Linked DNA regions of Bombyx mori. The protein of the gene in region 5 purifies or fractionates together with the protein of the main gene of each other region. This does not show direct contact. Links are inferred from orthologs where the notes say so. Each region holds a gene or a part of one and is shown on either strand. Other genes may lie near its edges.

Region 1 (4,075 bases), on a different chromosome or scaffold from region 5:
CTCCAGTATGTTTTTCTTGTCAAATTAGTTTTATTTATTTATTCTTACTTCTTAATTTAAACAGTATTTTAATAGATATTAAGACTGACACATGATAATGTATTAAATTCACTAAGTATTTAAATGTTATTCGTATTATTTTATAGTCAAGTGGTGGTATTACTTATTTTAATTTATAATGTATTTTGTTGATGGAACAGCTTAAAGAAATTGTTTTAAGCATCTGAACTTTTAACTTAAATAGACATGTAATGTAACCAAATTAATATATAAAAGGTGAAAATAAAGTTTTGTTAACTTTCAAGTTCTTTTTTATTTCTGATAAATATTAACATCTATGTCTTAGGCAATTTGTACATGCCTCCTTGAAGTACCAGTTGATGTGTTCTTACTTTTGTGTCTAAAAATTGTCTCAGCTCCATAAGACTGCATTCAGTGCCTGGAGCTTGGGAAGCAAACATCTTCAACATTTGATGTATTCTGTCCAAAGGCAAACAGTCCAAGTTTGTTAACATGCCTACAATATAAGACCAAAAAACTTGCAGTTCACCTTCCCGCTGATCATGTGCTGATGCCATGGCACTCTCCGTTTCTTCATCTTCACAAATCATTTCCTGTACTTGATGTGAAGGTACACTGGCTTTATTATCAGCTTCAACTAAAACAAAGTGATCTGTACTTTTTTCTGCTATTAAACCCATCGATTGCCAGTATGTTATTTTCCTTCTCAGAATAGTAATAGGAACTTTCATCACCTGATGGAGTTCATCTAACGTCCATTCAGATTTATTTTGGAAATGCATTATCAATGTCGCATTAAAAGGTGAAACTGTCAGATCTAACTTCTTTTCGCCTATTTCTATCTCTAAGTTTACATTTCCAAGGTGTGGTTTCCAGCTTAATGTTCGATTACCTTTTAAAGCTTCATAAGATTTAGTGTATGCTTCAAAATGTTCCTTGATTTCTTCTGGTAATTCCAGACTTTCATCTTTAAATGGTGGCCAAAACTGTGCAGATAAAATCATTGCATTAGAAGTAAATTTCTTATTCAGCTCCTCAATGGTTTTGTCCTGATGTATTAAGGAATTAATTCTCTTTGAATCTGATATATCTTTAAGCATGACTTCACAGAAGTGTAATTGTGATTCACCAAATCTTATTTTTAATAGCTCCAGGTACCTAATTTCTTTTTCTGTATTGATAACACTTTGAGCCAGTAATCTATCAGCTAGTAAAGTTCTATATTCATTAACAAACAATTCCTTGCTACCATAAACATTAACAAGCATAGATATAATATCATTAGTTCTTCTGTCATTTGAATCAACTTTGGGATCAGCATCAACTGGATCAGGATTCCATTCATCCCAAGCCTCATCTTTATCGGCATCGCCATCTCCTTCTGCTGCAAATTTAGCTAGCTCTTCAGCTAACTCACTACCAGCACCTTCTTCTGTCAAACTGCTCACAACACTCCTCACTGTATCTTCTCTACTTCTTAAATAATTACGAACAGGTTTTGTCACTGTTTCCAGTATAACACCAGAAGGATCTAGGTGTCTCAAAGCTCTAATAGTAGATATGTAAGCAGTGAGTATGTCAGGAGTGTTCACGCCTGGGTGAAGAAGCCTTGTTTCTAATGCATTCTGTAACTTTTTACATAGAGTTGGTCTCAAATCTGTTTTTGCTAAACAAATTTTGATGTCATCAACAGCAGGCTGGGAATCAGGATATTCTATAATGATGTTGAAGAGCTGATCAATTCTTGTTTTTGTGTAGCTATGATAGAGATAGTAAGTGAGTTTCTGTTTGAATCTTGAGATTGCATTTTGTATATTTTTATCATCAGGTGGAGGTTTGGAGGAGCCAGCACAATAAATTCTGATCAACCAAGACATTACTGTCGTATTAAGCCAACTTTCTAATGCTTCAATGTGGGACACATCAAAAGTGCCAGTACATACTTTCTGTATATGAGACTGAATTCTCAACTGGATGAAATTAGTTAGAACTTGACCTGTGAGTCTTTCTAACAATTGTAACTCCACCAACTTCCTATTTGTTTCATGAAATACTTTCACAATGTATGCACAGTTACAATCGGAATACTCGTTTCCACAACCAGAACACATTATGTCCTCGCCCATGTCGGAGTTTTCATATTCATTATCGAAAACATTAAAAGATATTTTGTAGAATTGGTTTATAATACACTGAAAGTCGATGGGTAACTGAGACAGAAGAGTAGCTCGGACGAGCTGCTTAAAACCTAATACAAGATTTTTCTCGCCATAAATTAACTTATTATCATTACAACTACTGTTCAATTTAGTCAATCTTTGTAACATGGGTGAGAAACTAGAAACTGCTTCATAGAGATCATTCACTGAAGATTTAAATAGTTGAAATCCTTTAACTTCTTCCGCGGTCTTAATATATTTTGACCAAAAACTAGATGCGACATGTTGTCGTAGATATTTCTCAATATGAACAAATACAAGATCACGTATCTTTATTTGGACACCCAAATTAACTATTAACACTTGCACTTCATCGTATTCAGCCTCAGTACAGTCGCTGAAAATTTTATCATCGAGAATTGGATAGGCATAGTTTATTTTATTCCAGTACAGTTTCAAATCTTCCTTTTTATGATTTATATTCATCATTATTGCAGGTCAGTTATCTTATACATAAGATCTAAGATCTAAGAACGATATCCTCATAAATAAATTAATTAATGTTTACACTTTACTCTTTGCGTTCAATCCTAATATATTAATCTGTGGATATTAAGTGTCTAATCTATGATCTGTGGTCCTGTGCCATAGAGTTAGTATTTTAGCTGAATTTGGCCTCCTTTTTTTAATTTTCAAATATATTTTTTTAATTTTAATTATTTATTCGTCGTTTGTTCGTTAATGTTCGAATGTAAAAATTGTTTGTTCGTCCATTATTTATTTATAATTAAACAAATGATCACTCTTAAGTTAGCCCCTCTTACAAAATATCTTTATTTTTATCGATCAGATTAATTAATTGTGATCAATTATCGTTTGTTCGACAACTACTGGTGATTGCTCGATCATAAAAACAATTAAATTCCCAATTATTAATTTAATATTCTTAGAATAATTAGAAATCACTGAAATTTCTATATGGTTGTTAATATTCAATATAATTAAAAATAACTGAATTTATTAAAACCGGGCGAATCGTACTTTAACGACTAATTGGTCGTCTTCACTGACATTTTTTTGTTGAAGTATTGTTGAAGTTTTCAATATTTTTTTGATCTACCTAGGAAATAATTAGACAGTTTAAGCGCACTTGTTAACAAAACGCTAGTAAATACGGCCATTGATAGGTGACTGACAAAACCGGCGCATGCACAATATAGGCCTGATTGCTTAATAGATATAAAATAATTAATAATTGGGAATTTATTTGTTTTTATGATGCAACAATCACCAATAGTCGCCGAACAAACGATAATTGATCAAAATTAATTAGTCTGAGTGATAGAAATAAAGACATCTAGTAAGAGGGGCCGACTTAAGGGTGATCATTTGTTTAATTAATTATAAATAAATAAAAGACGAAATAACAATTAAAAATAAAAAATCCAATAATTACAAAGGGGGGGGGGCCAAATTCATTGAGCTCCAATATTTCTGACATTTAATTTAGTTCCACGCGGCTAAATAACTCGCCGGATTTTTTTTGTGCAAAATTCCTATTTCACTTTTCTCACAACAAAATATATGGTTTTGGCCTTTGTTATAAATTAAATGGTGTGATTTTATAGGTGAATGAAGTTAGCCCCTCAAAAAAATTTTTTTTTCCTGTTTTCTACTTATTTTCTATTAATTCGTTTGTTCATCATTTGTTCTTGATTGTTCATTGTTAATAATTGTTTGTTCCCCATTTATTTATTTTAAAAAAAATATTAAAAATATATCTAAAAGTTAGCCCCTCGATTGCAATTTTTAAAATTTTTTCGTCCTTAATTACTCGTAAATATTCATTTTCGATTGTTCTTATATAAAATACGTTTGTTCTCTTTCGAAATTAC
Region 2 (4,168 bases), on a different chromosome or scaffold from region 5:
TATTGTAGTTTGAGGGTGTTATCGTCGATTAACGTTCGCGCGTAGCGACTACGTAAATGGTTCCAAGGGCCCCCGAGACAAACGCGCATCGCTACCTCTACTGCCTCACTGGTTGGAACAATAACATTATCTATTGTTAATATTCTCTTTGATAACTTTCTAAAATATAATATATTAACATAACATGTTATCCATGATCACGTATATATTTTTCGTATTGTAATCAATGCTGAAATCAATATTCTATATATACTTTTTAATACTATAATAATGATGATATCCATACAGATTTATATTAAAAAAAAATCACCTGTATTCGCACTGTTTAATCCTTTTGTATGTATCCTTGAGGGTGGACGTCTCAAACGGCGGTTTGCCAACAAGCAGCGTGTACATGATGCAGCCCAGACTCCAGATATCCACTTCAAATGAGTGGCCCTTCTTTGTTAATATCTCAGGGGCAATGTAGTTTGGGGTACCACACAGAGTCTGTTTTCTCTCTCCTATGAAAGTTCATTTTGTTGTTTCAAGTTCAAAAACGAGAAATCCTTAGCATCAGAATTACAACTATGGGCGCACACTTCATGTTTATATTTCTGAGAATGATTACTTTCAGAAAGGTTGAAAAGGAAATTGAATCTCAAGGTTATTCTTAGGTATAAAAAAATGGTTTCAGTTCTTTAAGCAGAGTGTTTGCATGATAAAATTGTAAAAAGTTGTAGTCATGCCTTCATTAAAAACTTTTATCACTACAATGTGATAGAAGATCACTATCGAGTAGGCCTATAATTACCTTCATATTCAATCCTTGCTGCAAGACCAAAATCTCCAATTTTTACATGAAGATCGTCATCAAGGAACAAATTGCCAAGTTTCAAGTCTCGGTGTATTATCCTCTTACTATGGAGATATTGCACGCCAAGCAGTATCTGGTGCATGTAGAACCTAGTCTCTGGTTCTGTAATTGCTTTTCTACGCTTGTGAAGCTCCATCATCGACTGTAAGAGTGGTTTTATTAGGCTATTGGATATCAAACATTTTGTTGATTTATAGGTAGTGAAAATATGTTTTGCATTCATTTAAACGGAGACATGATGAAAGCAACATAATAAGCTACTCAGGAGTACTCATGGGCAGTAACAAATAAATAGGCCTCATCAATTTTATTTCAGAATAGTATTGCAAAATATATTCAAAATATCAACTAAAATATCCTAAACTAAATTAATATATATTGTTAGTGATGCTAAAACTCATCTAAATTTTATAAATTCTTAATGGCATTATTAAAATGTGGGTAATATGAAAATCTGACATCAGAAAGCTGCTTTACTTACTATTTTTACAAAAATATTTCAAAAGAATTCATGTAAAATTAATTATCTTTTTTAGTAAACTTGATTTGCCTTGCTTTTGTCTCCATTCTACAATGCAAGGTAGAAGTAGTTTTAACAGTAAAGGGAATATAACTATAAGAACTAAAATAAAAAATCGCAGAATTTATCAATTTATTGGACAGTTTAATATATAATTCGTAGTGTTCAACCAAAATTTTACTGTTATGTTCAGCTTCATAGATAGTTTAAAGTAAAATGTTTAATGCATTCACAGTCATAAATTTCCCAAAATTTTTAAGTCAACTACTTATGTTTATTGATTGTTTCCCATGTCAATTGCACATCATAACATGCAATTCACATAATCAAGCTGTCTTATTTTTAATGGTACTTGAGTGTATTTCATAAATATTAAAATGAAATATATATTTTTCATGATGTGGAAAATTAAAGAATATTTAATTTTCCAAGACTCAAGAGTTTAAGAGATTTTTTTTTTATAATTTTACTTAAGAGTTCTTTTCTCCATTTTTGTACTGGTGTATCAACAAGTTATTGTTAATCACATAAATGTTATTCCGAGGCTTTGGTGACTGTATGAGAATCAAATGGAACATGGGCTCGGAAACTATCAACCATCTAATTCATTTCCATACCTTAGAATCGTATGAATTTTTAACTTAAATTGTTATTCAGTTTTTTGGACAAGATCAATTGACAAAAAATTAAAATATGCATGATACTTGCCCGTTTTTTACAAAGCTCCAATATTATATAAATATTCAAAGAGTCCTCGAAGAAACTGTGGAAGCCAACTACATGCTTGTGCTGGAGAGACCTGTGAATGGAGATCTCTTGAGCCATCTTCTCTTTGTGCGATGACTTCACTATTAGTTTCTTTGAAACAATTTTTCCAGCATATATCTGGTTGGAGGCTATGTCTTGGATCTCGTAGCATTTTGCAAAGCCACCCTAAAAACGATCATTGTGTTAACAGAAATATAAGCTTTAATTTAAAATTTTCGTCATTGCTTGTGTTTCGCATATCAGTTATGCACACATATTCTATACGTGTCGTTAATTTCTGTTGAATTAATGATATGCAAATTCGACTGACAAACTTCAGTTATATTGATCTGCATTTTTATATGTCTGTAGTCAGGCTATTTCGAAACAGGTGCATGCTGGGCGGCGTTGAACTTTTTTATGTATTCAATGAGACGGTTACTAAAATATACATTTTTGTACTTCGTGTACAGAATATTATTAGTGCTTTAAATGTATAAAAGAACAGAGTATGTATACATTATATCCCTATTTAAAATTAAAGTGTTTCGAATAACGTAGATACAGTAAGTACTTACCTTGCCAAAAAACCGTAATCTTTGGTAGGTGCTGTTAGTTTGTGGATCGTGAATGATTTCGGGGATTTCTTTCTTTTCATCTTCCTTGATCGACGTCATTTTTAGCTAGCTTAAAAATATAAACTACAGTCAAATAATATTAAATAACAGTAAAGTTCACTAAAAGTAATTGTTGACAAATTAACAAAGGGGATCTCAAACGGCCATACGTTTGAACTTCAATTAACTTCAAAGTTTGAAGGCCGTTTTGAACGGTTTTTAATTTTCAACCAATAGGGCGCCGCGATGCTTATACCAGTGTTGCTAGGTTTGTAAAAATGTTATACCATATTGTAAAAATGTTTTTTGGCTGTACAGGCTGCACAGAAATCAGTGCAATAAATCGAAATGGCAAAAATCTTAGACTATACCTACAAGGAGTTTATGATTTGAAACTGCAATGTTGTATAGGTAAGAGTAAGATAATTCATTTTAATTAAAACTGCATTAGTGAGCGAGTAACAATAAAGAAAGACAGTTTCTGTAATGATTTTTGCGGCACTTCCTGATCACGAAATTATTGTTGAAGCCTGCTAAAAAGTTCTTTCTATCGATTCAGCTTGCCGTCAATATTGAGAATATGTGAATATTAATTGAAAGCTATTTATAATTTTAATGTTTAATATCCTTTTTTACTGTTTTTCATACACTTTTTTTCTCAAAAGCCAAGTTTTGTGTTTTTTTTTGTTGTACACAAGTACAAGTGCAGATGTTTTTGTTCCTGTTGACAAAGTGTGCGTGTGTTAAAAATTTTAATGGTGTATAACCATAGACCATAGAGTTACTATTCTAACTGGAGTGCTTACTTCGTTTGACATAAAAACTAAAAATATACTTTATCTCTATGACTTAAAGTTTATTTTTAAATAGCAAAAGATGTAAGGAAAAACGGTCTGAAAAGAGAATGATTATTAAGTGGTGGTGTCCCTCTCGCACATTTTACAAACAAAAAGCAGTGTTGCTAGCTTAGAGGATTTTCCATAAAATCTCGGAATTCGGACCCCCGTCTTAGTTATCAAAAATGGCTTTTAGTGGTTAGTGGATTTTTTAGTAGCTTGGGCGTTGTAGAAAATTATCGAAAAGGTTAAAATCAATCAACTTTACAGGATTTTAAACATTTTATGACAATAATATGTCTAAATACATATTATTTAAACGATGTGACTTAAACTTAACTAGAAAATGTTGCGACAATTTAGAATTTCCATCAACGTCAAAAATTAAATTTGTTCAAAATAAACGTACAAAGTTATGGTGAAATTAGTTTCTGATTATGACAATTTATTAAAATAAATTATATAAGAAGTATTGATTTTTAATAGAACATCATATATTAATAAAGCTTATTAACAAAAAAATTATTGTTCTATATTAATAAGAACTCTGTTTAATGGAAAATTTAATGGTAGGTACGTAGATTTCTGATGG
Region 3 (4,126 bases), on a different chromosome or scaffold from region 5:
ATCTATGGAAACGTATTTTAATAGCGATATTGTGAATTTATATTCCGAGCGTCACGTGCAGCAGAGCGCTCTGTCCAGCCGCGCCACTCGCAGCTCAGCTCCAGCCGCACGGAGGATTCTAACTCAATTAACTTGGGGTAAGATTTTATTTAGTGACTCGACGTTCGCGAGGGAAGAGCTTCGGGAAGGAGATGGGGGAAGGGCAGCAGACTGTCCAGCGCACACTCAACGCAAGGATTTCAGTTTTTGCAGATACACATTAAATTATTAAAAAGTTCACCTACTACTTAAAGTTCAATTTTGCAAATATCTTAAAGTTCGCTCGTGTTGGACGAGTCCATTTGCGTGGTCTGATCGTTTGATCTCGGGACGGCTCATAACCGCTTCAGGATGCGGCGCTTGTCTGCGCGGGGGGGAGGCGCGGGGCGGCGCTTGGCGGGCGGCGCGGGCGCGTGCGCGGGCGCGGCGGCGGGCGCGTGCGCGGGCGCGGCGGCGGGCGCGGGGGCGGGGGCGCGGCTGCGAGTCGCGTGGATGTCGGTGAGCAGCTTGGCGCGCGCGAAGTAGTCGTCGTAGCGGTCGCGCAGTAGGGCGGCGGCCTCCGCGTTGAGTGCCGAGTCAGGGTTGGGCGCGATGAGCAGACAGCGCAGAGCGAGGAGCGCGTGCCGGAGCCCGAGCTCGGGGCGCCAGTCGCGTGCGAGCGTGTTGACGCAGACCTCGCCAGTCTCGGCGGCGACGTTGGGGTGGAAGACGCGGGTGACGAAGTATGCCCGCGGTGCGCTGGCGGGGAACTCGCGTCCGAGCACGAGTCGCACGCGGAACACGCCCCCTTCATACGGCGTCTCCGCTGAAATCATCAACTTTTGCATTAATTTAGTTGATACCCTTGAATCTGGTTTTTACTGGTGGTAGGACCTTATGTGAGTTCGCACGGGTAGATACCACCACCGCGCCTGTTTCTGCCGTGAAGCAGTAATGCGTTTTGACTTGAAGGGTGGGGCAGCCATTGTAACTATACTGAGACCTTACAACTTATATCTCAAGGTGGGTGGCGCATTTACATTGTAAATGTCTATGGGCTCCAGTAACTACTTAACACCAGGTGGGCTGTGAGCTCGTCCATGCATCAAAGCAATAAAAAAAATATTAAACCTCTGGCCATACTAAAATCTCATTTTACTTAACACAGCTTACAGCTTACAGCTTTAGATATAACAACTATATACAAAAATGCTCAAAAATATTTTGACACATTAATTCAATTAGAAAAAAAAAAGCATAAAAATCATACACATAAAAAAATGTGTATATGTATAATTTTTCCCTACTTATTGGCTAGTATCCTGTGGAGATATTCCAGCTTCTCGTGAACAGATAGGCGAGCTCACAGGCTCAACCTGAGAGAATTTGCTAGCACTAGACCTAGCAAGAACAGTGCTTTGAAACATTTACCACCAGATCAGAATTGCGACCTACTGAGAAGATCCAGCAAGATACTCAGTGGGCTGTGTATGGGTTAGTCGTAATCAACCGAGGAGGACTGGTGCTTGAGAGGCCTAAAAACACCTGACTTTCTCATTTTCTCTATCATTCTATAACTGCACAACTACTAAATATGTCGTCCTAAAACTAAACTTCTTTGGGATGATTTTGTTTTTCTCCAATAAAGGTAAGATGTAACATGACAACAGCTTTTTGAAAACTTTGAACATAACTGGCAGTGGTATATATTGAGAATTGGTTCACCTATCTGTGGCTTATATTGTGTGGTGTTCATTATGAAGGTATTTATTTATTGTTTAGTTTTAAAGAAAGTCCCATATGCAAAAAGAACACATCATACATTTCTTAAAATTATGACTTTTAGATAGTGTCAGATTCTCCTATTCCTCATCTCTTCAGAGGTCTAAATTATAAGTTAAACAAAGTTCTGACAATGTAATATCTGCAGCTGTTAATATATCTTTAGAAAGACCATGACTTCAAAGGACTCCATAATTATTGAATATCTAAAAGACGGGAGATGCAGATTGAAAAAAAATCATGTCCAAATTTTCCATACAAAATTGAGACATTGCAAGATATAAGTAATGACATTCAAAACAAAATAAATATCAAGCAGATAGCAAAAAATCGGTATAAATTGTAACTGTGACGTTGAATATTGAGATGTACTTCAATGTAACAAATCCAGACATTGCCATTGGACCATTTACCTTTCCACCTCTGATTTATTACATGACATGAGAAAGTAGATATGCCTTTTGTTTAACGAAATGTCACACCGGTTCTGGAGGTGAGGGCAGTATCATATTTGAATAGATTCTTACCGGGACCATCGATAAGCGCGACTATGTCAGATATGTCGTCGTCTCGCAGCTGCAGTTTGATGCCCGGCGGAGGATTAGCCGCCAGCTGTCGGAGTTCGCGTGCCACGCCACGCAACGCTTGAGGACATACGTTTTCCACGTTCGACATGCTTCTGCTTCTCCTTCTTTATGTCAGGCGCTCATAGCATTTGCTTGCGTTATTATCACCTTTTACACTAAAACGAAATGTCACTAAGTTTTTAGAATTTTTCTATTTGTTTTGAGAAGGAATTTCGAAATATTAATCTCTTTCTACAACAGAGCATGCAATTTTTATTATTCAGAAAAATGTTCACTACTTATCAAATTTGATTTCGAGTTGATCTATCAAAATTTTCAAAATTCAAAACATAAAACTGCATTTTTTTTATTAGCCTGCCCAATTAGGCAAAGGTAGCTTTAACTATTCCTATAACATTCATTCCACAATGCGCTAAAATTTTTAATGGGTCGTCACACTGTGTTCTTAATTAAAACTAAATATTTACGTATAAAATTCCATATATTAAATCACAGATGTGATGCTAATTTATCTTACTGTTCCTTACTACCACATACTATAGAGATATTATGACATAAGTGAAAGGTGCTATAAATACTAAGCTACCTATGTTCAATAATCTTGACCGATCTTACTTTTTGTTACTATATCTTTGGGGAATATTTTTATTTATTTATTTATCTAATTTGCAAGTTCGCAAAATTGGGAAATAAATTAAAAATCGCTGATTTGTACTAATTATCTACATGAACATTTTATAAATCGAAACTGGCAACAATTAATTGTTTCATCGACTTTTTAGAGAGAGGGCAAAATATGTGAATTGATTTATTTTGTTAATTTATCGTTCATTCAGATGTAATGGTCCTTAACTTTCCTAATGGTGGCTTACTTATGATTTAATATCAGTTGAAGTACATGTAGAAATGCGTGAAATGAAACAAAATCGCTAAACGTAGATTCGCGGCAACTTCCAAAAACTCCATTGAGCTCAGTAAATTCTGAAAGGTGATTTCAATTCATCTCAATGGACACTTAAGGGTGTTATATCTCACTTCAATTAATATTTTTCATTCGCTCACTTCCTTTATAATTATATTCCTTAATCATGTTTATTTTCTATTATCTAATACTAGCGACCCGCCCTCGCTTCGCTTCGGAAACATTAAAACACACATGAAACCAAAAAAATAAATAAAAAATAAAATAAAAAAGTAGCCTATGTTCATCAGGGACAATGTCGGCTTCTAATGGAAAAAGAATTTTTCAAATCGGTCCAGTAGTTTCGGAGCCTATTCGAAACAAACAAACAAACAAATCTTTCCTCTTTATAATATTAGTATAGATTTTCTTCGACTTCACGTGTGGTAGACACATTTGAAACTCAACGTCTTTTCACAATTTTTTTTTTATTGTAGTTTTATTATTTCCGGCGCTACGTACAGGTAATTTACAGTTGTAGTTCTCATGGATGACTTAGTCTTCTCTTAGACGTTAGAAGTAATCGTTAGTGTTCGTGATTAAGTCATAAAGTACGGTAGTCTAATTATTGCCAGAGTATGTTACATTTAACTTTTAGCAAAATAAATTTTAATATGACTTTTCTAACAAACCATTTGGTCGTGTGGGTATTTTATTTGTTCAGAGGCGAATCCAACAAACTCAAAAGTACATTCCTTATCTAGGAACGTCCACATCAGAGTTTTGTTTTGTGCACGGGGGTATTAACAGGTCTCCTTAATTTTGTGTCCCTAGACAC
Region 4 (4,029 bases), on a different chromosome or scaffold from region 5:
ATCCAACTTTAATTAAATCACTTAATCCATATTCACTTTTCTTTGGTTGTGAATTTAAGAGATTATACAATTCTTCGTCTGTCAATTTTGATAACACGTAGCTTGAATCAGTACCTATGATATACAGTAAAGTTGTAAATATTAGAATTATTATGCTGGTATCGTATGTATTATAGTTCAATTAAACTAATTTCGCTAAAAACAAATTTAGGTTATAGGTACATACTATAAATACTTTTGATGGAATTTAAATTTGTAGAATTCTATTAAAATTGCAATAATAAACAGAAATCTTGAAATCTAAAAATTCAAATGTTTAAATTTCTGTCGGCTATCATTTCTTTGATTGATTTTTGAGTAAAAATTACGGCGGGAGGTGTTGTTGGTGATAAATTAATAAATTAATTTATAAAGCGTCATAAATTGTGATCACTAGAAGTGTTGGTAATAAAAGTTCAAGCAGTCCGTATTTTCTTCTTTCATTTATCATTTGTTACTTACGCACGGCACAGAATAGAAACGAATAGAAGTAAAAGTTACACAGTTACCTACTAAATTAAGTTCATGAGTTAATTTAGGTATATACTTCGAATTGGGCTGGTTTGTACGAAACTACTTACGGCGCCGGTGCATCATGCATAAATGATTCAATTTAAAAATCTTTAAATTACTATATGTTATCCATAGTGTAAGGAGAGAGTCGGGTAGAATGTTAAACTATTCGTAGTATAAAAATAACTATACAAAGGTAGAATCAGATTTTAAGTTTTACCGATAAATTGTAAATATGTTTTCTAGCCTACAAAACCTTTTAATTAATATTAACGGTTCACGTAACTAATTACTTAACGCTCAGTAGAACGGCTTTCTAATTCGTATATGCTACTGATTAGCAGGAAAAAGATAGGAGCTACACTTTAGCGCTGGACTTAGGCTATACCGACATCCATAGTGAGTAAGGCCTCATTTGCAAGGGAGTTTTTTAAAAAAAAAAAGCATTCATAGAGAACAGATGCACTTCCTAGTATATGTTCATACGTCAGCGCTTATAAAACGCGACGCTTTTTTATTGCGCAGTGTTGCATTTTGAGCGCTAAGCGTTGGGCGTTACAGATTACGTCACATCGAGAACCTTATAAAAGCGCTAACGCCGAGTTTTAACGCAACGTTTTTAAAGCGCCCGTGCGAAAATATTCTAATAGGTTACTTATCTTGACATCCTCTGCTCTCTGATAGAAATATTAATGATGAATTCGTGGATTTATTAAGTCCGTACATAAGTACAAAACGAAACGTTTAAAATCATTAAATCAAGTTATAAATTTCCAAAAACAAACCTGAATAAGTGACTGCTGAAGGCATTTTCGGTAAATTTTCTTCGTTTGGAATATAGCTTTTAGTTTTCATGTATTCTTCTAGGTCACTATTCGAATCATATGATGAAAAATATGAAGGTTTTTGCAGCATAGCCATCGGAATTGTATGTTGTATCTGAAAATTAAACTTTATAGTAGGTTTACTGAAAGTCGGTTTAATCAAAAATAAATTTCATCATGCTTTAGAAACTGAATAATCAAAAATAATTTCATTAGCAATTTGGCTATCAGTTATAGAGTTTCTTAGATGAATAGTTATTAAATATCTTCTATTTTGTACATAGTTGCAGCATGTCAAATAAACTGATACCTTGTGTGATACCTTGAATAGGTGCCCTCTAACTAAAACTAAATATTGAATGATGATTTACTTACCAATAAAATCAATAATAGTGGTATTTTGACAATCCATGAAGGCATTGTAGCATAAACAGTTTAATATCAAACTAACCGATGCACGACCACAAGTTTGCTGATAAAAATCGTTCTGTCATTATTGTTTTTTAAAATTAACAATGAACAAACGCTCGTAAAATTTTTAACACTTATTGGAAAATTACTCGGTCAACATTGAATTAACAAGCCTCTTTTCTATTTGTAGTGATGTTCGCAGTTACAAATTGTACCTTCTCTTTTTGGCTGAACTTGACAACGAGTTGATTGAAATTGCTGATCGTAGACCAAAGGAAAAATAAACGTTGGACACAACGGTTTCTACTACCTAAGTGAACTTACCATTTCAGCATTATCAACGTTAACATTTAATTTAAAAAAATACAGTACACACTGTCTAATATGTTATTAAGACCAGGGACGTCTTAAGCTAGGGTGGGGCCCTTGGGCACACAAGAATTGAGGCCTTTCGGAAAGTAAAAAAAGCGAATTATAATAACATTTTTTTACTGAGTTTGAGACCATTTATTATAGGTAATCAAATATGTCATTAATGATATTAGAATGCTGCTGGTTTTTTGGTTACGATTTCGATAACGGTTTCTTTCGGGATTTCTGTTGAGCAAAATCTCCCATTATAGGCATAGTATATGCCTTGTAAATACCTTCTGATTACTGATTTGTGCAAAAACTGTAATGTGCACGACAAAAATGTTTTGAGAATAAACGTGTGAGAGAAATTGTCGGTCTTTCGGGGCCCCCTGAACATGGGGGCCCTGGGCACGGGCCCCGTTTGCCCTAAAGCCGAATTTACATTACGAAATTAGTGGCGTGAAATTAATTTCGTGACATTAGTTTTACTAACAGTTTCACGTGTAATTTAATACTTTCGTAATGCATGCATTAATTTCATGCATGGAAATTAGTTTCGTGCCCTGCGCGATTTTTTGGTGAAATTAATGTCATGCAACTAATTTCATAGTGTAAACGCGACGTGAAACTAATGTCGCGAAAGGGCCTGCGCTGTGCGGACGTGTGTATTGTTAGTTCGGACGCGCTTCAAGCGTTGAAAATGGCAAACCTATGATGAAGTACAGAAAAAAATATAGATCTTATTAATGAATATCAATGACAAGGGTCCCGAAACACCTATAGTAAAAAATCAAAATTATCTTCACTCATTCGAAAATAGTTTTTATAACTCTCAGGATCTTCATCTGCTAATTCAGAGACTAACTTCATTGCACCTAAATGCCTTCTTGTTAACCATCCTCGAATCTACCAACTTTTTTTTTCTTGATAGTCTTTTTTTAGGTTTATAGGTATATAAGCATTTCTTTAGCTACATTGAATATAGCAAATTATAGCTTTGATGCTAACGGCGCCATGGTTACTGCGATACTGTGGATTTCGCGACACTAATTTTTTAACGAAATTACTTTCGCATATATCGAAACTACTTTCGTGAAACTGAGCTCAACATGCATGACACTAATTTCGTAATGTAAACTCGGCATTATGGTAAAGGCGGTATTGATTAAGACCGCTAACAGCGATAAGACGCGCGATTTTATACTACAAGCAAAAGGCAAAATAAAGATAGTATTTTTTAGGCAGCACCAACCTAATTCTTCTTGATTGGTGAAATGTAGTAGGGAAACTGATTTAAGGACAAATAAAATGTTATGATAGATCATCCGTTTTATCAATGAATTGCGTTTTATAGATAGTTTTTGTTCGTTTATTGTATAGTACTTACACATCTTTGAATTTTGATCAGCTTTTTCACCTTTTTTCACAATAAAAACAAAAATGTTAGTTAAAACGTTTTAATGAAATGATGGCTTTGAAAATGGTTTCAATTATTGGTAATTACAATTTTTTTTAAAAACCTGCCTGTTTATTTCGATTGTTTTTTTATTAATTAGTGTAGATGGGCGGACTAATTTACGGGATATTATTAAAATATTAGCTGTGCATTATTATTTAAGCAGTATAACAACAATTCTACCAATTAAATATTATGTGTATTTTCTATTAATCTTACTCTTAAGGCCGGAATACATTTTGGCTGGTATAGATGATGACACGAACTCATGAACCCTGTGTTAGTATTTTTTGAAAATGTGAATTACGAATATTATGAAGTTTTTGATTAAATTTGTATTTTAGGTGCATGCTTATATTTTTTTATGGTTAGCGTGGTATGGATATGTGATGCGTCGAGAGAAGATGCATGTGACTAGGAGATGAATGGAAA
Region 5 (4,087 bases):
CACACGTCTTGACATTTTCTTGTTCGGTAGACGAATCTAGTGAAGGGCTGCTTTAATGACGTATCATGTTTATTTGCCTTAGACATACAACATAGGATACACAATGTATTGATAAACAGCAGTTTATTTACCTGAGAATTTGATTATAAATTGTTATCACACTGTTTTCCTTTTGTTATTAAATGTCACAGGTAATAAACACTGCACACATATTGCACACAAATTCCGTCGATTTTCTACACATCAACGTCGTACACTATTCGTTTTGATAAGACTATGGTCGAATGACAATTAAAACACAAATTATAATTTCAATTGAATGACTTTCCCATCGCGTTTACAAATTAATGTACCTATTTATTTTACTCTATGAAATAAGCGAATTATTTTTGATTTTAATAAAATCCACTAATCCACTTCCACAGAAACATTGACGTTCAGCACAGAGAGATTATTTTACTTTTTTTTAGGGGATTTTATGTCCTGGTAACTAAGACCTTTAGGTCAAGTCTTATTTTAATTTTTATGAAAAATGATAATATAGATATATATATAATATAGATATATCACTCTATATTATCATTTTTATATTTCTAAGATGAAATGATATAGGTTTAAATATATAATCTGGTGGTTATTTACTGAGACTTTTTAGTGGGTTTTTTGGAGGATCCCGAGCAGCTACCTCAAGCGGCCTTGTTTCATTTTCCCACATTTCACAGATATTAAACAGTTAATAAGCCACCGTTATTACACATTTAAGTCTGAAGAAACACTAAATAGACAAAATAAAACAAATTACACAATTTCACTCGGACGCTTTGCTACCACAGTTTAAATCCTTGAAGCAAGCTACTTCTGGAAATGATTGAAATTTCGTTCCAACTGCGATTGTGTATACTGGCATATTGCTACAAATTTTTTTGTGCATTTAGAATCATAGCTAAATAACAACTGGCCAAACTTAAATAAAATGAATTCCTACTCCAGTTAAATAGCGGGAGGCATGTCTGTCCAGAGTTGTCAACTATAGAGTACGTAAACAGGACATTTTTAATTTATAACTGCACTAACTGAACTTGCAGTAACTGAATGGGCTTAACCAAAAAACAACTAATTTTGATGAATAATGAACTTTAATAACTTCTTTTTTCGCTTCATCCTTATTATTTTTTAACAAAAATATAAATACAGGCATTTTCCTTTAATAAGTTACGACTCGTCCATTAATAGAACCACGTTTAAGATTTTGTAAAAACGGTTTTTTAAAATAATTTGGGAAATATTAAGATTGAGGCTGGCCACAGGATCATATGAGATGCTTAGGGCTGGCAGCTTTATCAATATCATAGACAATCAACAAACTAAAAATGTCCGTCGAAATAGATTTCCAATATATTTTGTGATTTGAATTTGTGGCTTGCAATGTAATTAATAGAAATAAAAACAATCTGGAAAGTATTTATTTACAGTAAAAAGATGATTGTGCAAGAACCTATCCAGGTATGGTGAAAACCAGTAAATTGAAGTTTCATATCTCCCAGTGGGACGTTATAAATTATTTGTTTTCTCGCAGGTTATCGTTTGGGATTGCCTCAACAATTATGAATTCGAAAACGCTATATTTTTGGCAGAAAGATTGTATGCGGAAGGTATATAAATTGTATTAAATATAATGTACCATTGCAAAATATTGATTTTTATTCTGGGTGTGCTTTTTGTTTTCGCTGCTTATTTAATAATTTGATGATTATTTGCAGTTGGCTCAGAAGAAGCTGCGTTTTTGTTGGGAACATGTTATTATAGGTCAGGGCGAATTAATGAAGCACATCATTTACTTCAAAATAAAACCCTTGCATTACCACAAGCAAGGTTTTTATTAGCCAAATGTTCAGCTGACTTGAAATCGTAAGTACTTTTCATTTAAAAAAAATAAATGTTAAAAATTCCCTGTGAAGCTTCTCTTCAAACAATTTAAATTCTATTAAACATATGGGTGAACTTATGATGGCATTTTGATAGTTCATGTACTTTTTGTTTATAAATGATTAATATGCAGATTGTAATGAGACCACCCAAGGCTATAACAGGTAAAATTGGGAACAAAAAGAAAACTAATTTCCTAAAGCATTTACAAATTAGTAATGATAATTTAAAATTTTTAGAACGAAATATGTAAGCTGGTGGCAGATGCTCCATGTGTTACTTTCTGTAGTGTCCACCATTTGTAGACACAGTTAAAACAATTATTAAATTTAATAAAAGACACGAGCTTGACTTGTAGAAGAAGTTTTAGGCACACAAACTTTTTTTTTTTATTTCTGTAATTGAAATAAAAAATGTACTTGGATCAGATACACATGTTTAATTTTTATCAATCAAGATCTGCAGATGCCAATATTAATTAGCTATGAAAATCAATAGAAAACAAAATATGAGTACCTGCATTCTATAGTTGAAATCTCAATCGCTTATTGCTATAGTTGTTATTTATAGAAAAGTTAACTGCTTAGCAGCAAAAATAGGTAGGATGGTAGCACACCTGTGAGGGCCTGCAACATGTATTAAATATTTGAATACAGTGAAAGCTCCTTATTCAATTCAAACTGACATTTAGCTCTTGGATCATAAATATGTCTCTTCAAAATAAGACTGATCTCAATAGGTGGGTCAATTTTCATAAAAAAATAACAAAGTCCATTTGCAATACCTAAAATTTGCTTCTGGTTTTATATGTTTTGGACAAATTTTTCTTTTACTGAACGCGAAGAGATGTCTTATATGATTAAAATATTTAAATAGGACACCAGCCCCTACAAAGGCATCTTTTGTCATGGCAGTTTAGTCATAGTTGCATTACATATGTTTTACTTTTATGTTAATGTATGTAAACCCATACAAATATACAGTTATTTATCATTACAGCTACAAAGATGCAGAAATTGCACTGGGCTCCAACCTTGATATAATAGCTTCTGAATTTGGAGAGCAGGCGCCATACGCTTTACAGCTTCTTGCCAAAGTATACATCAGCACAGGAAGAAGGAATGAAGCCGCTGAAGCCCATCGGAAAGCACTATCTCTTAACCCATTTATGTGGAAATCATTTGCACAGCTCTGTAATATGGGTGAGAAAGTTGACCCCCAACAAGTTTTCCAAATAAACAACTCTGAGTTCACATTTGGTGTTACAACATTAGTCAATCTAGTCAGCAATTCAGAAAATATATCATTTGTTAACTGTAATATTCATAATAACAGCAGCATGAATACAAATGTAACACCTAATAATGTTGCCACACGTACACCCATGGCTATGTCGACAAGTATAACTCCTGAGACACAAGCCCCAATGAAGCGAATGCATAGTGTTTTTAGTGGTATGGCACCTATTCCATTTTCACCATCATTTGGAATGCTTACAATGGAAGAATCTCCTGTATTATATACTCCAACATTGACAGATTCAAATGAACAGAAAGCAATTCCTAAAATAGTTAATTCTCTACGTGCACAAATGGGACAACTTAAGGATGCAGTATTTAGCCCAGCTCCAAGATGTACACTTGGCCCTGCCCCACGTAGATCATCAAGACTATTCAGTAATAATAATAGTAGTTATTCAGTAAAGGAAAATAATAAATCACCTAGTAGGAAATTTGCAGCACCAAAGAGTCCCTCAAGAAAAAATAAACAGAGAACTGCTAAAAATATTAAATCTAATACAATAGATTCAAATAAAAGTATAGAAACTGTCACTCCAACCATACCTCCAAAGAATTCAAATGGAGTAGCATTGTTGAGTCTTATGAAAGAAATAGGAGAAGCTTATAAATATCTTGCATTTTTAGACTGTAAAAATGCAATAAAATCCTTTCAAGAGTTACCTCCAAAACAATTGGCTTCACCTTGGGTACAAACCATGATCGCACGTAGCCATTATGAATTGGCTCAATATGAGGCAGCTGCTAAAATATTTTCAGAAATAAGAAAACAGTATCCAAGTCGTACTGAAGGGATGGAAATTTACAGTACCTGTCTATGGCATCTTCAGCGTGAAGCACAGTTATCAGCCTTAGCACAAGAA
Region 6 (4,129 bases), on a different chromosome or scaffold from region 5:
CATGACCTACGCGTGTGGTGTTTGCTCACGCGGCCCGCACACACTTGGACACCCTCCAATCCCTACAATCCAGCTTTTGCAGGCTGGCCGTCGGAGCTGTGGTTCGTGAGGAACGTTGACATACACGACGACCTTGGCCTCGAATCGATCCAGAAACGTAACGAAAGTAGAATAAATTATGCTGTAGTCATAGTAGAAAATTTATATCACCCTTGTATCATCGCTCATTTAAACAAGACAAAAACCAAACACTTTTAAATTCATTTATACATGCCAAAATGATACCAAACATTGAAACGAAGGTGCTACATTCACAGTTAAAACTTACATTTTATATTTACAATACTGAACACAATATAGATTTCGGTTGATTGCTATTAGTTAAAAACACATAATATAAAATTATTTTCAATTTTAGGTGCCCATTAAGTGCCCAAGTATACAGTATTATAGTAGATACATGAACAAGCGAACTAGAGATGTAGTCATTACCATTTAAATACTAAATGATTTCCATTTGTAGATACCAACAAAATTACTTGTGGGGCTAAGATATTGATAACCGTTTGTTAGAAAATCAACTCCATATTCAGGTCTTAACGCATAGAATATGTGCGAATGCCAGCCTCGTGTGAGAACATCACTGTTTTTCTCAAGTATCTAACAATAATCTTTATTGGCCTGTATGGGAGTCAGATAACATTGTTTGTAAAACCAAGCACTCAAAACTTAGCTGTGAGATTAAAACAAACTTTAGACTGTTTAAAGCATAATCAATACCTACTGTAACTTAGTCACTAAATAAAATTATACGTATTTAGATCGAGAACAGTCTACAACCAATAATGGCCTAACAATTTGATTGACGATTTCCTTCTTATTTGAGAAAAAAAACTAAAACTTAACACATCACGACAACTGTAGTAATTGTTATGGCATAATTTCATTTTAAAATTCACCATTACTATAATTATGAGTCATTAAAGATTCACTAGTACATTATTGCAGAGAGGGGAGAAAGCAGTAAAGGTTATTTATTATTTAAAATGGGTAGACGGTCATAGTCCACCTTATGGTCACCTGATGGTCATCACGCAATTGATGCATGCTCTCTTCAACAATATGTTACCTTACCTTAGATAATTACAAACTACATTACTTGAGATACTTAAAAAGAATAGAAAACTTATAAAGTAAAGCTGCAATCAATCTGCGAGTTTGTAACTGACTACTGTTTCCATTTTGTGTAAACTAGTCGAGAATGACTTTAGCTGTACATTCTGAGCATTGGCTATAGCTACTGGTTGTGCCTCAGCCCATTTTTCTGGAATATCGCAGTCTGTTTTAGCATGAACCAAAACATCAAATGAACATCTACAATCTAATAGCGGTAAGTACGATATTGTTGCTGCTACTTGTAACATAACATCTCTGATTTCCTGTTGTATCTTCTTCAAATCTTTGCTCCCGACCATTTCATTTTTCTCCTTAGATAAAGCAGTATCTCCATCTTCGTATTGAATGTTAAAGTCCCAACATTCCAGAACTTCTTTGTTAGCCACATTTAGTATGATCAGAGATAGTTTTTTCACTTTCTTGTCAAGAATCCATTCTGTAATATCATCAAAATAACATCATTAAAACTACTTTAATGGATTATATCACACATATATTATTTTTGTTTTGTGATATTGTGAGTACTGACAATTAAGGTTATTGATGTACATTAAATTTTGTACTAGTTTCAGTTATCTCTATGACTTGTGAAAACTAAAGAAATTGCTGTGGTAAAACTTTATTTAAAGGATGTCAAAACTCCTAAAACTCCAGACTAAGGTGTGGAGCTAAGTAGGTAGCAGTAGTGGCCCTCAAAACACAGCACATGAGCAGTTGATTCATCTCATTCGTGCATAAATACAATGCCACTAAAAACAATGAATGATAAAAGAACTCCCCAAATTGTTGATCTTTATTTTAAGTCCATCAAAAAAGTTACTAATTATTACTAAGAACTGCTATTAATCATATTAGATTTGGATGTAGACTAACTGATACCTTCACTCTGTGTAAGAAGATTTGTTAAGAAGCTCTTGATCTGAGGATCCTCTGAGAGTAGCAGTGTGATGCCATACTGGTTTTCTGCCTTAAAGGTTTCAGGTGGATATAAGCCTCGTTGAAACAGTACTGAATTTATTGAAAATTCTGAAAACATGAGTAAATAAATCAGTTTATACTACTCACAGGGATTAAACAAATGTGGACTTTAGTCATATAAATTTATAATGGTTTTGTAGTCCACATTAGTAAGCCCTTGTACTCTGTATCTTTATGGTCGTGTTTCTTCTAACAGCTGTGTGTACAAAATATATTAATTCAATAAATAAAAATAAATAAGCATGTCCATCATGGCCACTTCAACATACTGGTTACAACCTCAGGTTATTATTAGTATCAGAGCTTTCAGCGCATATATGCTTATACGGCTGTGTGGTAAAAATGGGAAAACAAGCTTTTGATACCAGAACAACAGAGAAACAATGTTACTTACTCAAATATTCGCATATAATTTGAGCGGAGCCGCGCAAAGTAATACAATTTTTTGTTTGTTGTAGTGACATAGTTGTCAGCTGTTTGTCGATTATATTGCTGTAATCGTTCTATCAATAATCAAAATCAATGAATTTATATACACACTTGAGTATGTAGGGACGATTTGATACAAACGAGCCGTTATGTAGGTACTGGGTGAATTCAGCGCGTCCGTTGATAATTGTTATTTTCAAATAATTCAAAACATTTCATTCAAACTTCAATGTCAAAAATTCCTTTAAATCAAGTGTCAATGCTCAAACGCCTCCATATACCCTTTGCTTACATATTAAAAATACAAAACTCCGTCTGATATACTACGCAAAGTGAAATGGAACTGAGGAAAATAAATTAATTTTTAAGTAAAGTGGTAATAAACTTAAATACATGAGATCAAATAGAAATAAGCTCTCTCTACATACAGCTACATCAACACACAAAGATGATGATGTGCTCCTAATCTCTATCCTCCAAACTAAAAGGGTAAAATCTTAACTTCGGCAACCTGAATCATTTGATTTTTTTTTATTGCTTAGATGGGTGGACAAGCTCACAGCCCACCTGGTGTTAAGTGGTTACTGGAGCCCATAGATATCTACAACGTAAATGCGCCACCCACCTTGAGATATGAGTTCTAAGGTCTCAAGTTTAGTTACAACGGCTGCCCCACCCTTTAAACCGAAACATATTACTGCTTCACGGCAGAAATAGACAGGGTGGTGATACCTATCCTCGCGGACTCACAAGAGGCCTTACCACCATGTATGATGCTATTATGAAACAAAAACAATATGTAGGTACCTATTAAGAACTTTTTGGCGGGAACTCGAGGAGTGAAGTTGTGTGATTTGTTTTATTTTGTTTAATTAGTGTTTCTTCAGGTTTAAATGTGTAATAACTAGAGGTCAGAGTGGGTAAGTAGATTGAGTTAAGGTCGTTGACGTCAAACGTAGAGGATAATATGGATATATATATATATATATATGCCTCCAAAATACTGGAACTTCATATTTATTGTGATATTTGTTCCGGAATTTTGAAATTAGCATGAATTTGTGTTTAAAGTGAAAAACGTAATAATAATTTTTTTTTTCTTTATTGCTTAGATGGGTAGACGAGTTCACAGCCACCTGTAATCTACGCTATCAGTGCTAGCTAATGGTAAAAGAAATCAGTATTTTGTTTTATACAAAAACGCCTTGGAATAGTTACAGTTATATATTATATATATGTGTATAGTTATAGTTATAGTTATTTTGTCCCTTTCTGTTAAATTGTAAATGACGCTTGTCAGTATGAGACAAAACTTAGACAGTGCTTTTTTGTTACTTTATAAGTATAGAAATTGTATCCGATGAGGATTAAAAATAATTTTTTTCATTTTAAAAAAATAATCATTATGGATAAAATGGCATGTCCATATTAAAATATCTTGATCCAAGTATATGAAATCAATCTACCTACTCCGACCACTGGTAATAACGGTGGTTTATTAACTGTTTAATATCTGTGAAAGTGCACAAATGTGGGAAAATTAAAA
Region 7 (4,032 bases), on a different chromosome or scaffold from region 5:
ATATTATCAGTTACGTATTGTTTTCTGTTTTTAGATATGCCTCGCGTGTACGTATCAAAGAATGCAAAGCCTTATAAGAGATATTATCCCTTAATATTAAAAACAGCAATTAGGAAATTTTCTATTTGGGAATAAGTCTTTAGTTGAAATAGCTAAGCAATTTAATATAAGTAAGTCAATTTTGCACAGACATGTAATAAGAACAATGAAATCTCAAGGTGGACAAAAATGTCTAAGTAATACATAATAAAATATTTATTATTTGTTCAGAGTGTCCGTTTTTTAATGTTTTTTATTGATGATCACTTTGTTGGTGCAACTAAATAAATAAATTAAAACCAAGTAGTGCCCACCCTAGCAAATTTCTCATTTCGTCCCAATTAACCGCAATTTCCGGGTAAATAGGGATTACACCTATTTTTGCTTTTTTTGCTTAAACTGGAATGCTAGTTGCATAGTTTTAAATTGGACAACAAAGATGCTCCCAAGACTCAATCATTTTGATCCTGATATAGCATTATATACATCAACAACTACCTTAAAATTGGTCATAAAGATGGAATTTGTCCCTAATCGCCCCATTTTACCGGTACTTGCGTATTTCAAGTTGCTTCCGCTTGCAGTTCTTTCACTGAAGTTCCAGTACATGTGTAATTTCTATTTTTAGTATTGTTTAAAAGTGATTTATTAAAGACCTTGTTTAGTTTTTAGTTCTTTTTATTTCAAATGATTTTTAGTAGTTTAATTGAGTTTGGTAATTTTTTTTTATTTCACTTAACATCATTTCAAAATATGGTACTCGTTTATGACTTCGTTTCATGTATCGATCCCCGTGCCTATCAGATTTTGAAATAAAATAATAAAAATTACACTTTGAAAATTTTCGAATTAACATCTGACAATTTTTTTAGCGGGAACGCAAGGCGCTAAGTTCTGTTAATTTTGTTAAAGTAGTGCTCATGTTTAAACGTGTAATAACGGTGATTATTACACTATTATTATACTATATTACATTATTAACTGTTTAGTATCTCTGAAGGTGCACAAATGTGGGAAAATGAAACAAATTCGCTGGACGTAGCTTCTCAAAAGCTTCCAAAAAGTCTTGGTGCATAACCACCACTCCACTGAGACTATATTTCATCACATCTCATCTCATTTCATTAACATCCTAATTGATTTACTGTCTCAAATTAATAAACTTCATCTCATTTCGCTCTATGGTTTTTCAAAACACAGAATTCACAGAATACACAAAAAATACGCTGTATGGTGTGATACCTTCGTTTTTCCAGTTCAAAAAATAAAGTAGCCGATAAGACTGACATATGACTGACATTAAAAACAAATTTATTTGATCTTACTTGATTTTACTTCAGTGGTTAGATTAATAAAATAAACATTATATTTTTAAAATTAGCACATAAACTTAAAGGCAAATGATAAATACTGAAAAAAATTTGTTCAGTCAACATATTATATCATAAAAATCGTTAATTTAATTATGAAGGATCTTAAGGTTAAATAAATCTAAAACTTCTATTTTAGCCTCATGATCGCGCTATGAAAGTAACTGTAAAAAGTAAGCACAATCTCTTTTTTTCATAATGTTTATTTTCCCTGGTTAATTTACACTTTATTCTTTGCAACTTAAAACACACTGACATTAAAGTAAATTAAGTAGTAATTTTTGCTAAGTGCCTTATTGTCATAGAGCACAATTCTTAAAAATTCCTCATACAAGGAAGAACCGATTGAAATTGAAATATTCACAGTAACGAGATAATTCATTTTAGGTTGGACAGGGGTTGCAACTTGGAGGTGGGTAGCAAACGACGACAATTGTGGGATTTGTCGTATGCCATTTGATAGCTGCTGTCCAGACTGCAAACTACCTGGGGACGACTGCCCTCTAGTTTGGGGTGCTTGCTCTCACTGTTTCCACATTCACTGTATCGTAAAGTGGCTACACTCTCAGCCTCAACAGCAGTGTCCTATGTGCAGACAAGACTGGAAGTTCAATAACAAGTGAAATATTCGTAAGTACATACCATAAATTAAGAAAATATAGTTTAAATAATAAATAAATATAGGTTTTTATTCTCACACTTTATTGTGTCACTGCTGTCCCATTTTGTAACTATATTTTGTTTACCAACCTATAAGGCTAGAATAATTTGGAAAAATTTATTGTTTGGTGTTTTCAAACTCAATAAGTAGTTAAATGGTTCGATGATTATAGAGTCACAAATCCTTATTAGTCATTTTTAGTTTAGTGATAACAAGTTTAAATCTCACCTTAACTTATTAATCAGGTGGTATGTAGTATAGAATATAGGGATTGATCTGCACATAATAGCAACTTTTATTATTAATGTCAGAATAATGCAAATCTAACATAAATGAAGTTGACAATATCACAACATTTTTCTTTCTTTGAAGCTTTGATTACGGAGTTCTACAGTTTCCTTCCTTTCATAATTCAGCAGAGTACTAAGTTTTAAAGACAAAAGGTTGCTACTATGCTAGTACAGATTAAATATTATTAAAGTTTTCTGTGAATTGTTGTACAAGGGATTGTCAAAAATATCATAATAACGAGGGGTGAAAGGTTATTATTTGGTTTAAGAGATAATATTCGATATTTATCTTTGTAATTAAAGGTGCATTTTATTTGATGTCAGTATAATTTTTTAATTGAACTTTAATTAAGCTAAAGAAGTTTTTTTTTTATTATGTTTTTTTTTTCAAATTTTAAACTTTAAATGGCTCTGCTATAAAGCTGCAAAAATGTCGCTCAAATCAAATAGCCTTTCACCCCGATATGAACTACTGATAAATTTAGATGTGTTGGTGAAATTAGCCTACCTTATGTTCTTTTTTTTTTTATTGCCCCTGTGGGCATACGGCCCACCTGATGGTGAGTGGTTACCGTCGCCCATGGACCTCAGCAATGCTAGGGGCAGAGCCAAGCCGCTGCCTACTGCTAAAATTTTCACTGCTTTTCCATTATTTGTATTTGGGCAGGGATTAGATGCAGTGTAGTTCGACTCCCACAACCTGAATTTGTTCAAACCACTCTGAAATTATAAATATTAGGTAATGATTATTAACAAAACATCTGTAGTGATAGAAAACAATCTCTGGAAAAATATTCTATAAGGATTCTGGATGATTTGCCTTTGGCACCAAATAATTTGGTCAAAGGGCAAATTATCTCTCCCAAAAAAACCAAAATACTGGGATACTCTTAAAATATAATCTTTATATACAGTATTTATAATATACTTTTTTACTGGGCATCGTTTCTGCCTGCACTGATAGTGACCACCATCCTACATATTTTTGCTGTGAAGCAGTAAAATGTAAACATTTGATGTGTGGAGCAGCCGATGTACTGTAAAAACTGACTTAGAAGTCATGTCACAGAATGGGTTGTGACAACTCATTAATCTCTCAGCAAAAATTAACTGTGAACCTTGCTGTCTATTCTTCGAGTTGCCTTTCGCAAAACTCACGAGAAGAGAGTGGATGCCATTCTAGGCCCTCTGGAGCTTAGTGTGCTGCATGCCGACATCGGTGTGTTTATAAACCAAAAAGGTCCCACATATTGCTTAACAGCACTTCAAAGAAATGTGATCAAAGCTGAAGTCCTGACAGGATACGTTGATGGCAAGCAATTTTTTTTGCCCCGAAATCGTCCTTTTAATTTTTTTAATTTTTCTTGTTGCTTCGATGGGTGGACGAGCTCACAGCCCACCTGATGTTAAGTGGTTATTGGAGCCCATAGACATCTACAAACTAAATACGCCACCCACGTTGAGATATAAGTTCTAAGGTCTCAGTATAGTTACAACGGCTGCCCCACCCTTCAAGCCGAAACGCATTACTGTTTCATGGCAGAAATAGGCGAAGTAGTGGTACCTACCCGCGCGGACTCACAAGAGGTCCTACCACCTACTTAATCAAATATCATTTAGTTTCAAACGCGTAATTTTTGTTTGGCAATGACGCGTAAATAATACACGCGGG

What was found.
Region 1: the proteins of cell division cycle protein 27 homolog (region 5) and anaphase-promoting complex subunit 2 purify together in Homo sapiens (affinity purification with western blotting; 20 studies listed by BioGRID and IntAct, with this or other methods). This does not show direct contact. The link is inferred for Bombyx mori from reciprocal best matches to the Homo sapiens genes CDC27 and ANAPC2.
Region 2: the proteins of cell division cycle protein 27 homolog (region 5) and serine/threonine-protein kinase polo purify together in Homo sapiens (affinity purification with mass spectrometry; 4 studies listed by BioGRID and IntAct, with this or other methods). This does not show direct contact. The link is inferred for Bombyx mori from reciprocal best matches to the Homo sapiens genes CDC27 and PLK1.
Region 3: the proteins of cell division cycle protein 27 homolog (region 5) and ubiquitin-conjugating enzyme E2 S purify together in Homo sapiens (affinity purification with western blotting; 4 studies listed by BioGRID, with this or other methods). This does not show direct contact. The link is inferred for Bombyx mori from reciprocal best matches to the Homo sapiens genes CDC27 and UBE2S.
Region 4: the proteins of cell division cycle protein 27 homolog (region 5) and anaphase-promoting complex subunit 15B purify together in Homo sapiens (affinity purification with mass spectrometry; 3 studies listed by BioGRID and IntAct, with this or other methods). This does not show direct contact. The link is inferred for Bombyx mori from reciprocal best matches to the Homo sapiens genes CDC27 and ANAPC15.
Region 6: the proteins of cell division cycle protein 27 homolog (region 5) and mitotic spindle assembly checkpoint protein MAD2A purify together in Homo sapiens (affinity purification with western blotting; 29 studies listed by BioGRID and IntAct, with this or other methods). This does not show direct contact. The link is inferred for Bombyx mori from reciprocal best matches to the Homo sapiens genes CDC27 and MAD2L1.
Region 7: the proteins of cell division cycle protein 27 homolog (region 5) and anaphase promoting complex subunit 11 purify together in Homo sapiens (affinity purification with mass spectrometry; 8 studies listed by BioGRID, with this or other methods). This does not show direct contact. The link is inferred for Bombyx mori from reciprocal best matches to the Homo sapiens genes CDC27 and ANAPC11.

Annotation. Positions count from the first base shown.
Region 1 is NC_085131.1:8,614,822-8,618,896, forward strand, and holds anaphase-promoting complex subunit 2, read right to left. Parts: upstream 2,801-4,075; 5' UTR 2,670-2,800; coding exon 336-2,669; 3' UTR 289-335; downstream 1-288. UniProt on the Homo sapiens protein: Together with the RING-H2 protein ANAPC11, constitutes the catalytic component of the anaphase promoting complex/cyclosome (APC/C), a cell cycle-regulated E3 ubiquitin ligase that controls progression through mitosis and the G1 phase of the cell cycle.
Region 2 is NC_085121.1:12,620,802-12,624,969, reverse strand, and holds the start of serine/threonine-protein kinase polo, read right to left. Parts: upstream 2,801-4,168; coding exon 2,702-2,800; intron 2,310-2,701; coding exon 2,085-2,309; intron 999-2,084; coding exon 794-998; intron 504-793; coding exon 311-503; intron 109-310; coding exon of another isoform or gene 1-108. UniProt on the Homo sapiens protein: Serine/threonine-protein kinase that performs several important functions throughout M phase of the cell cycle, including the regulation of centrosome maturation and spindle assembly, the removal of cohesins from chromosome arms, the inactivation of anaphase-promoting complex/cyclosome (APC/C) inhibitors, and the regulation of mitotic exit and cytokinesis.
Region 3 is NC_085116.1:176,346-180,471, reverse strand, and holds the start of ubiquitin-conjugating enzyme E2 S, read right to left. Parts: upstream 2,801-4,126; 5' UTR 2,666-2,800; exon of another isoform or gene 2,543-2,665; 5' UTR 2,476-2,542; coding exon 2,328-2,475; intron 845-2,327; coding exon 375-844; 3' UTR 1-374. UniProt on the Homo sapiens protein: Accepts ubiquitin from the E1 complex and catalyzes its covalent attachment to other proteins. Catalyzes 'Lys-11'-linked polyubiquitination.
Region 4 is NC_085121.1:5,937,655-5,941,683, reverse strand, and holds the start of anaphase-promoting complex subunit 15B, read left to right. Parts: upstream 1-1,229; 5' UTR 1,230-1,337; coding exon of another isoform or gene 1,338-1,491; intron 1,492-1,751; coding exon of another isoform or gene 1,752-1,796; exon of another isoform or gene 1,797-1,978; intron 1,979-2,161; exon of another isoform or gene 2,162-2,303; intron 2,304-4,029. Other genes in the region: uncharacterized protein LOC101746435, read right to left, coding at 1-114, 1,338-1,491, 1,752-1,796. UniProt on the Homo sapiens protein: Component of the anaphase promoting complex/cyclosome (APC/C), a cell cycle-regulated E3 ubiquitin ligase that controls progression through mitosis and the G1 phase of the cell cycle.
Region 5 is NC_085117.1:10,632,657-10,636,743, reverse strand, and holds the start of cell division cycle protein 27 homolog, read left to right. Parts: upstream 1-1,287; 5' UTR 1,288-1,479; coding exon 1,480-1,503; intron 1,504-1,576; coding exon 1,577-1,652; intron 1,653-1,760; coding exon 1,761-1,908; intron 1,909-2,925; coding exon 2,926-4,087. UniProt on the Homo sapiens protein: Component of the anaphase promoting complex/cyclosome (APC/C), a cell cycle-regulated E3 ubiquitin ligase that controls progression through mitosis and the G1 phase of the cell cycle.
Region 6 is NC_085128.1:1,144,864-1,148,992, reverse strand, and holds mitotic spindle assembly checkpoint protein MAD2A, read right to left. Parts: upstream 2,801-4,129; 5' UTR 2,619-2,800; coding exon 2,549-2,618; intron 2,203-2,548; coding exon 2,056-2,202; intron 1,613-2,055; coding exon 1,206-1,612; 3' UTR 250-1,205; downstream 1-249. UniProt on the Homo sapiens protein: Component of the spindle-assembly checkpoint that prevents the onset of anaphase until all chromosomes are properly aligned at the metaphase plate.
Region 7 is NC_085118.1:13,747,260-13,751,291, forward strand, and holds the start of anaphase promoting complex subunit 11, read left to right. Parts: upstream 1-1,381; 5' UTR 1,382-1,563; coding exon 1,564-1,582; intron 1,583-1,592; exon of another isoform or gene 1,593-1,796; coding exon 1,797-2,032; 3' UTR 2,033-2,039; exon of another isoform or gene 2,040-3,080; intron 3,081-4,032. UniProt on the Homo sapiens protein: Together with the cullin protein ANAPC2, constitutes the catalytic component of the anaphase promoting complex/cyclosome (APC/C), a cell cycle-regulated E3 ubiquitin ligase that controls progression through mitosis and the G1 phase of the cell cycle.